Rattus norvegicus: one gene and its partner. The protein of the gene in region 2 purifies or fractionates together with the protein of the main gene of each other region. This does not show direct contact. Links are inferred from orthologs where the notes say so. Each region holds a gene or a part of one and is shown on either strand. Other genes may lie near its edges.

The links. The genes of interacting proteins can lie anywhere in the genome.
Region 1: the proteins of Ube3a (region 2) and Psmd13 purify together in Homo sapiens (affinity purification with mass spectrometry; 4 studies listed by BioGRID and IntAct, with this or other methods). This does not show direct contact. The link is inferred for Rattus norvegicus from reciprocal best matches to the Homo sapiens genes UBE3A and PSMD13.

Annotation. Positions count from the first base shown.
Region 1 is NC_086019.1:205,403,617-205,408,313, reverse strand, and holds the end of Psmd13 (26S proteasome non-ATPase regulatory subunit 13), read right to left. Parts: intron 3,054-4,697; coding exon 2,973-3,053; intron 2,863-2,972; coding exon 2,746-2,862; intron 2,245-2,745; coding exon 2,149-2,244; 3' UTR 1,789-2,148; downstream 1-1,788. Other genes in the region: Cox8b (cytochrome c oxidase subunit 8B, mitochondrial precursor), read left to right, coding at 98-208, 1,351-1,452.
Region 2 is NC_086019.1:119,257,121-119,262,539, forward strand, and holds part of Ube3a (ubiquitin-protein ligase E3A), read left to right. Parts: intron 1-5; exon of another isoform or gene 6-30; coding exon of another isoform or gene 31-92; intron 93-1,676; coding exon 1,677-1,960; intron 1,961-4,866; exon of another isoform or gene 4,867-5,058; intron 5,059-5,419. UniProt on the Homo sapiens protein: E3 ubiquitin-protein ligase which accepts ubiquitin from an E2 ubiquitin-conjugating enzyme in the form of a thioester and transfers it to its substrates.

The DNA.
Region 1 (4,697 bases), about 86 Mb from region 2:
CTATAAAAAGCCCTAGCTACCTAAGTGAGCAGAGGACGTGCAGCAGACATTCAGGGTGCCTCTTTGGGGCCAAGGAAAGAGTGCGACCCCGAGAATCATGCCAAGGCTTCCCCCTATCCTGCGGCTGCTCCAAGCGCCCGAGAAGTACACAGTGATTCCTAAAGCCCGTATCTCTTCCAAGCCAGCCAAATCTCCCACTTCTGCCATGGTAAGTAACTCCTAAGGTAGGATTCCTTGGGCTTCAGGGCAACAGGGAAGATTAAAGTGATAAAGGAGAGGGGTGGGTGTGGTGCTAGGTTATCAGTATTTTATGCAAGATGGTGTCTGAGTGCCAGAAGAGCACCCTGGCACCACTGCCCGTGGGCCAGGCTCTCAAAGGGCTACAAATGGTGGGGTAGGGACGTCCTCAGACCTCACATACCTCTGGGCCAAGGTCGACAATGACAGAATTAGGGGGCAGAGTTAGGATACAGGACTCATATCGGTTTGTGTTTATTCCTTTGTTATGGGGCAAGGAGGGCTGCTCTGAGGGGAAAACTAAAATGGCAGCAAATCTGATGAAATTTGACATATAAAGTAGGTCTGTCTCACATGTACAAAAGACTCATGCATAGAGCTACGGCTCAGCCCAGACTAAGATTCCTAGTCTAGGCTGAATTTGCTTAAACTCGGGATTAAGGTTAATAGGAAGGACTGGTTTTCAAATGAAGTACTGACTCAGCTTCAAGAAGGCCTGGACACAGGCCTTGTTTTGAGAGAACTCAGGGTGTCACACAGTTGATAGCTCAGAATGTGTCTCTACCTAAAGCTACTGAGAACACAGGGCTCCTGACGGGGGTCATCACTGCACATGGGACACTCAAGGCAGGTGTCCGACCTCACTCACTGTGGCTTCTGAATGGGGCTGCTTTTGAGAAAAGCCCAGTGTTCGTTTGTAACAATGGAAACCTTAGCTGCTCTGCTATTCTGCATAGCCCCCTGGGACATAAGACTGGACAGGAGCTGAGTGAACCTCTGCCTCACTGGGAGCTGCTTCAGCTAGGCAGGATCCTGGTTTCTGAAGCCCAAGGTCGTTGCTCCTGATTTCTGAGGTCACTCTCCCTGCCAAGGACTCCGAGCTGCCAAGCTCTCTGACACGCAGAGCCTGCTTGCTCACAGACTGCCTAGAGAAGCAGAAGGGAAATGGGGACTATGGCTGGTCAACATGCAGAGAAGAAGAGCAAGGGCAGTGACCTCTGGTTGCTTCTGACCGAGACAGAAGCCCCACACAGCAGGATTCTAAGGATGGCCTATGGCCAAGCCCAAGCCTTCTAATGGCCAGTGGACTCATGTTTGGTTTTCTTTCCACAGGATCAGGCTGTGGGGATGTCAGTCATAATCGCTGGCTTCATGGTTCCAGCAGGATGGGTCTTATCCCACTTGGAGAGCTATAAGAGAAGCTCCGCAGCATGAGGAGCTCGGCGCATCCCTGAGAGGCCAATTAAACGCTTCCAGTACCTCCTGCTCGTGTTGATTCTTGAGGGTGGCACTCATAACACCCAGTGCCTTAGTGATGCTCGGCAGCGAGTGTGGATGCCCGAGTCTGAGAGAGCACTGATAAGGACTGCAAGGAGGAACCAACGCCGCCTCCTTGTCTGACAATACAGGGCTCACTACTTTGGTGGCGGTCCTGTCATATAGTGACGGGGGAGAAGGCGAGCCCCCACCAACCTGAGTCCCAGCTTACATGCTCATTTTTTCTTTAGGCACAGGATTGGCTAAGAAGCTAAGTTCAGGAACAGAAGCACCAACAGAACAATGCAAAGGCATTTATTATAGAAGCACTCTCAGACCACACTGGAAAGGTCCACTCAGGTGGATTTGGGTGGAGACTACTCTGTCCCCATTCCCATTCATGCCCTTCCTCATCACCTAGGCCTGGAGCCCCCCTCCCACGGCTTGCGGGCTACAAAAGACCCCACACAGGAGCCTTCTCCAAGTAGTCACACCCCCATCAGTGACAGATCTCTGCATTTATAGCAAGAACAGTTCCCACTCCTAGCAGGATCCCAAACTCCATCCCAAATGAATACAGATCTCTGCTGATGGTTTCGGGGGTCACCTTGCAGGGTGAGGCAGGGTGAGGCGGGTCTGCAGGACCCTGGGGCGTTAGGTGAGGATGTCTTGAGCCTGGTGTTCTACCAGCAGCTCCATGCTCTTCACATCAGTGCACCAGAGCTCCAGACGGTCCTTCATCCCCTTGATCTAAAGGCAAGTCAGGATCACATGGGTGTCAGGCTGCACGGGAGTCTGTGTGGGAGTGCTAAACCTCTAATGCCTTTTGGGGAAATGCTAAGGGCGACAGAGCTGAAGGTGGGGGTGTGATGGAATCACCGTGCCAATTCTGATCACGAGGACATTCTAAAAACTCACATGAAAGAAAAAGAATGGAGGAAATCACAGGATTAAATGTCCGGAAAATATGATAGGGCGTGGGATCAAATCACAAAACCAGGAACATGTCTGTGCAAGCACCAATTTGAGGATTAGGAGGCAGCAGCAGCACAGCAGCACTGTTGTCACAGTAAGCCTGTAAGTGCAGGGCTCAGGCCTCAGGGCTGCTCCCCTAGGCCCCCACAGCAGTAATCCCATCTGCAGCACCTTGTGTGGGACAGTGTCCGCTTCCTAAGTGGCTTCCGTCCACATAAAACTAGGACAGCACTGGTGTACCCAAGTCCACAAAGGGCAGGGGCTCAGCCCCCTTACCTGCTGCAAATCCAGCACTCGAGGCTGCACCCACGTCATGTGAACCCGCTTGTCCACCTCGTCTATGCTGCCTCTCACCAGCCCCACCGAGAGTGCCTTCATCACCAACAGCTCCACCTGTGCAAGGGGCACATGAGACAAGCTGGGAGCACGGTGCTCGCTGAGACCAGGTCTCTGTTGGGGGTGGTAGCATTGCTGCTGCGAACCCCTAAGTCCAAGAACCATACCTTGTTGACAGTGATCTTGGCACTTTTGGCAATTTCCTCAAAAGTGAGTTGTCTGTGGTTGGCAGGCCGTGTGAACGTCATCTGAAAAAACAAAACTATTTTTCTAAGCAAAAGTGGTCATCAGAGAATTGGTTTTTTAAGATTTTTTTTTTGGGGGGGTGGGGAGTAGTCAGGGCTGGAGATAGGGCTCAGTAGTTAAGAGCACTGGCTGCTCTTCCAAAGGATCCAGGTTCAATCCTAGAGCCCACATGGCAGCTCACAACTGCCTGTAACTCTAGTTCCAGAGGATATGACACCCTCACACATACATACATGCCACATATGCAGACAAAACATCCATGTATGTAAAATAAAAAGTTTCCGGTTTCTAGCTGTTGTGAACATAGCTGAGCAGTGTTCTTGTGGTGTGGTGGATGGGGGTGCAGAGGGGGGATGGGAACAGGAGGGATCAGGTGTGGGGAGGATGAAGGGGGAAAGTACTCGGAGAGAAAACTGGAATGGGGGGTGGGCATCCCTGGGATAAGCTAGAAACCTAGAACAATGGGATCAATGAGGTGACCCTAGGGACTCCTAGCAATGGGGGGATATGGAGCCTGAACTGGCCATCTCCTGTAACCAGGCAGGACTTCCAGTGGAGGGACTGGGACACCAACCCAGCCACAAAACCTTAGATCCACAATTTGTTCTGCCTACAAGATGTGCAGGGGTAAAGGTAGCAAAGAAATTATGGGAGCAGCCAACCAATGACTGGTCCAGCTTGAGACCCATATCATGAGAGGGAGTCTACCCCCCCCCACCACTGCCCAGAGAGCCAGGGGCTGGATAGTCCAGAGAGCTAGGAGACAGAACCAAACATGAATGGTGCGCGCACACACACACTCAGTGTAATGATTCCTAACGATATTCTGTTGTACTCACAGATTGGCATGTAGCCCAACTGTCCATCAGAGAGGCTCCACCCAGCAACTGATGTTGTACAGACTCAAGAGTCAAACATTAAGCAGAGCTTGGGGAAATGGCAAGGAAATATGATGAAGACCCACAAATTACCCGACCTGAGCCCATAGGGGCTCAGAGACTGAACCACCAATCAGGAAGCCTGCAAGGGACTGACCTAGGCCCTTGCACGTTTCAGTTGTGTAGCTTGGTCTTCCTGTGGGACTCCTAACAATGTGAGGGGAGCAGGAGCTGTCTGAGTCTGCTGCCTTCCTCTGGGACCCGTTCCCCTGCTGGGTTACCTTGTCTAGCCTGAGAGAAGAGGAGGTACCCAGTGCTACCGCAGCCTGTCATGCCATGGCCTGCTGATAGCCATGAAGGCCGACCCTTCTCTGAAGAGGAAGGGAAGAGCGGATTGGGGGTGGGGTGGGGGGGATGGAAAGTATGGGGATGGGCTGGGAAGGGGAACTGCAGTTGGGTGAGAAAATAAACACAATTTATATAAATAAATATATGTGTATAGCCAGAAGTTGCAGTTGTTCTGTGGGGGTTTGGTTGCACACACCTTTAACCTCAGCTCTCACAAGACAGAGATAGGCAGATCTCTGTGAGTTTGAGACCAGTCGGGTTCACAGCAAATTCCTGGCTAGGGTCAGGATTACATAGTGAGAGGCTGTCTTATTTAAAAACAAACAAAACTCTGAAAATATAGATCATCTTATTAATCCTGTGTTCAAGTACTCAAGCTTTCATAAGGTAGTATCTACTGCAAACAAGGTTTCAATGCTC
Region 2 (5,419 bases):
AATAGTCTAAGCACTTGTAATTCTTAAATCATGAGAATTCTGAAATATACCACCATCCTAAGGATGAGGAAGCTGAGACACAGAAAGGCTAAGTAAGTAGTTCGCTCAGTTACAGATCCTGTTCATGAACCTGAACAATCTGGCCCCATTCAGATCATATAGATGAAGTTGAAACTTCCCTACTGACACTTAGAAATTTTTATTGTTTAAGTACATAGTAATAGAAAATAAAGTAGTTAGGATGAAAAGCATGCAAGAATTAACTTAATTATTTAGAAAAATATTTAATATTTTGAAACAGAATCATACTACATTTATAACTTGGTCACTGGCTTGTGTTAAGGAAATAATAGGAAGGCTGTTGGTAATTATTTTACTTGGTACATGCTGTCAGTATATTGAAGCAGATTGCTATTGTTAGGCATGGTAGTTTCTATAAATAATAAGGAAATATATCTTCCTTTTGATGACCTTTTCCTATATGTGGCATATCTTACTTCCATGATACATTTTAAACTTTATTACATTTATTTTCTGTAGATATATGTGACTGGGCATAAGTTTTGGTGTGTTTAGAGGTCAGAGGACAACTTGTGGTAATTAGTTCTCTCCTTTCCCCAAGTGGGATCCAGGGATCAAACTTGAGTCATCAGGCTTTACACTATGAGTGGTAAATATATAGGGAATATTTCTAAATATAAGTACCTTTCATGCAAAGAATGACTCTAAAGTCACTTATCAGTGCTTATTTGTTTATCTCTAGTGCCATTAGCCTCTTAGTTCTATCTAAAATTATGGCATGAAGTTTTAGAATGGAATTAGGTGAATTCTTTCTACTTGCAGGTCCAATGCTTGTATAGATCCAAAAAAATTGCTTTGAATTATACTACTGTGGACCAAATATTCAATTCTACTTAAATTTTGCAGTAATCTCAAAGAATAGAATTTTAGATTTAGATTATGTAGAACAATTACTTGTTTGGTAAAATAATTTATTTCTTAAATTGTATTGGTTACTTTACATGAAAAATATCTTAATCAAATGTTAATTTTCATGGATAAGGTTGATGAATATGAGTTTCCCCTAATAAAAACTTTATCTTTCCTAGGATAAGAACTAATGAAGAGGGTTAGTGACAAGTATGGGTTCAAGGTCATATGCCTTAGTGCTTCTCTCTCGGCATAATACGAGATTTAGATAGTTAATTTGTGAAGCACTGTTAAATCTCCCATGATTATTAATTGAGGGAAAAAATAAACTCTAGAAATTTGATATTAACCAGAAGTCAAGTATTTGGAACTATGAATTAGTGATTTTTATATATAATGAAAAGGAAAGTTGCTATGCAGATGTAATAGTAAACTTACTGTTTTTATTGTTTTTGTTGTTCTGGTATACAGTTTAAGGGTCATACACCATCACCTTAGCTTATCTTTTTTTAAGCCAAAGAAAAGTCTACCATGTTAAAATAATTTTGTAAGCTGACATACTTATTATGGTTTTTTAGAAAGTGTTTATTTCACTAATTAACACTTTGAGAGGTAATAGTCAATTTCCAGTTTGTACATCTAAATAGTTTATTGCTGTATTGCTTAGCTAACTTTTGTCTTATCTGTTGGGCTTTGTTTCTGAGCTATACTAATCACTGTGCTTATTGTTTGAATGTCTGGTACAGGAAGCGAGCAGCTGCAAAGCATCTAATAGAGCGCTACTACCATCAGTTAACTGAGGGCTGTGGAAATGAGGCCTGCACGAATGAGTTCTGTGCTTCCTGTCCAACTTTTCTTCGTATGGATAACAATGCAGCAGCTATTAAAGCTCTTGAGCTTTATAAAATTAATGCAAAACTCTGTGATCCTCATCCCTCCAAGAAAGGAGCAAGCTCAGCTTACCTTGAGAACTCAAAAGGTGCATCTAACAACTCAGAGATAAAAATGAACAAGAAGGAAGAGTTTAAAGGTAAGAGACTATATTTAAATTCAAAATGGTTAATTGAAAGCTATTTCAGAGATTTAAATTTGTGGTTTTTGGGTTTTTGCGTTTTTATAACCTGAAGATATCATAGTATAGTAAAGCCACTGTTTTTAAGTGTGGTAAAGACAGGTATTTAGTTACTTTATATTTTATTCTTATATTTACTGATACAGAAGTTGTCAGAAGCAGATTATACTCTAAAAATTAATATGATAATGATTGAACTCAATTTGTAATGATTGTATTGTAGCTAATATCTTATTAGGTCATAAAAATCTACTACATGTATTGCATTTGCAGTAAATACCTGGTATCAGGTCCAGAACTACAGGGGCTGTGGTAAAAGAAGGAGAAATACAAATATAAGGTATAAGGTAGTCTTTGTTTTCCTTTTTTAGAAAGCAGGGTAAAATTTTGCAATAGTTATCTGAATAATATATTTTTTTCCTTCTAACATTTTCTTTTTACATACTGCTCTCTACCTCAGGAACTTGGTGTACTCATACTGCTTAGGGATCTAACCTACCAATATTTACTCAGCTTTTGTGGGGCTTTGTTTCTTTTTGTTTTGCTCAAGATAGGTGACACTGTTCTTATATTTTTAATTCTCTTGCTTCTACTTTCCTAGTAATGAAATTAAAGGTTTACATTCCCATACTTTGTTTATATGGTACTGAGGGAGATCTCATGAATGAAAGATAAGCACTACCAACTGAGCTAGGTCCCCAATGCATCTAGTCTTTTAAAAATAGTCCTATGTTTCGAAAGTTCTTAAAACTTCTATTTTCCCTCATTGATTCTTCAGTCTATTTTTTTCTTAATAGAAGTAATTATCAACTAGCAATAAGGTAATTGAATGTTTCACATTGCTACGGATTAGCCCCTGTCACTTGAAACATGTTTAAAGGAATTAGTGAAATGAAATTATATTAGAATTTCATGTTAGTTTCACAATTGAACTAAAGAAAAATCAGAAAAATAATTTATTCAGTTTGGCTACACCAGTCCTATTTCATGAATTTGTTCACATTGTAGATAAGTAGGTGAATGGTATCAATATTTTGAATGTAGAAGCTGCAATGTCTCAATTATACATGTTTCTACGACAGAGTGAACATCACAGAGTAACAGTAAATGAAATATAATATTTCACCATGGTTGAATGTGACTAACTGGAAAAATATAGTATATAATTGGTATATTTATCTAGTTATAGCCCATGTATGCTTCTTTTTTACACATCTTGTTTTTGTGGATCACTCCAAATTTTATTGCCTTTACTTATTTACTTTAATATTTTTGAATTAGGAATTACACAGGCTTAATCATACTTAATTTCTCATTATGATAATTATATATTTGTTGAATTTTAATTAAATATGTAGGTATCAATTAGTGTATCACAAATCTGTTCTTGCATGAAACTGTTTATGGTATAAAATGTTATGTTTTAAGAGTGTTTTGGACCTGAGTTTAGTGGCATTGTAGTCCAGATTCTCAGGAAGGACCGTGTTGATTTCCAATATGTCTGTTTATACTATGTGAAGCCATGTCTCAAACAGTTTTCAAAAACACACATATTAAAATGTACAGGTGAATCTTAAAAAATGTTTCTTTACTTACCTGTTTGTTGATAACCAGATTATAACGTTTTTTATTTCTATTGCATTGCTTTACACACACACACACACACACACACACACACACACACACACAGAGAGAGGGGGTGGGGCTGAGGGAGGGAGGGAGGGAAAGAGAGAAAGACAGATAGAGACAGAGATAGACAGAGACAGACAGACAGACAGATGATAGAGATAAACATTTTAAACATTTTAAGTCGAGTACTACCTGGAAAAAGTATTGATTAATAGTAGTTTGTATTCCTAGATGTCAGTGTCATTTGATGAATGTGCTCTGAAAGAAGACATTGCAAGTCAATGGTGTGTGGATCCAGAGTGTTATTCTCCTTCAGGCAGGATGTATATTTATTGTTCTATATGTAGAACATGCACTTTCCAACCAATTTTATAATTTAGTGATAGGGAGATAAAACATTATCTTCTAACAGGCTGTTTATTCATTATAGATAGATTCTGTGTTTTGGTTATAGTTAAGAGAAATGGTCAAAGAAGATACCATAATTTTTTTCCATTAGAATAATGAGAAATCAGCTCCATGTTAGTGTTTTCTTACATTTCTTAGTAGACTAAAGAATTGAACTTGGATTGCCATGCTGCCTCAGCTAGGTACATGTAACTGAGTTTCATGCCTGGGACTCACAGTATAGAAGGAGAAAATGAACTCATTCAGTTATCCATTCAACTCCATAGCTTCATCACCCCTAATAAGTAAATAGAGCATTTTTTGAAACAAAGAATTGAAGATCATAAAATAAGTAAGTGTCAATACTCTAGAACAGTCCATAGATCAGTTTTGTAGTATATACAGTTCAGTGCTTTGTGGTTTATGTTTTGGAAGCCATTCTATTAATGAGGACTTGAATTTTATATTGTCTCTTACTGTTGAATAGGTACCTTTAATAAATGTACCAATCATAGTAAAGATATTTATGTGTTAGACATATTATCAATGTATGGGATATATTGTCAATGTAAATAAAAAAATTAAACTACCTTCAATGTTTAATTTAATAATTCTAGTGTGCTACTCTTTGATGAAAGAGATTAAGTTTGGCTTCAGCATTATTATTTGATAAATATATTAATTTGTAAGACTTTAGTATATAAAATGTCATCTTTTCCCAATTAGATAAAATATCTTTTGTTTTGTTAACGAAATGGTAAAGCCTTTGTTGAAAGTAATTTCCCTAAGCTAGGAGATTTATGGTCCAAATCTGTTCCTGGGAGAAAAATAGATATGAATTTTGGTGCTTGTGGTCTTTACTCTCTTAGCTTCTTCCTTTTATTTGTTTTTGAATGACTGTAATAATTTCTAGTTGCTCTGTTAAGAGTTATTAGAACCCAAATAATGGTCATAGGTAGTAGTAGCTGTAGTAGCAGTTTTAACTTCAGTAGAGTTTACTTGAGTAGTAATATCTTTTTCTCAGCTTCAGAATGAAAACTCTGGAAGAAATGAAGAATACATAACATGAGTCAGTTTGATTTTACGATATACAAAAGTATAGAAAGAGTTGATTGCAAATGAAGGGGTTGAGGAAACCTTGTAAAACCTTGCCTCCTTAGTTTTTTGAGAACAATGTAAAGGAAAATGATTTTAGGTTATTAGCATAGTAGCTTTTCGGTAAGGTTGTAATAAAGTACAGTGATGAAATGATAAATATATATATTTGTTCATATCTACAATAAATGTTACATACCAGTACATGTCTCGGTTACAAGGCAAGTCTTAAATTACCAATGCATAATTAATAATTATATGTTGAATGAGTGCCAAAGAAAGGGTGAGGTTGTTGGGATTACTTAA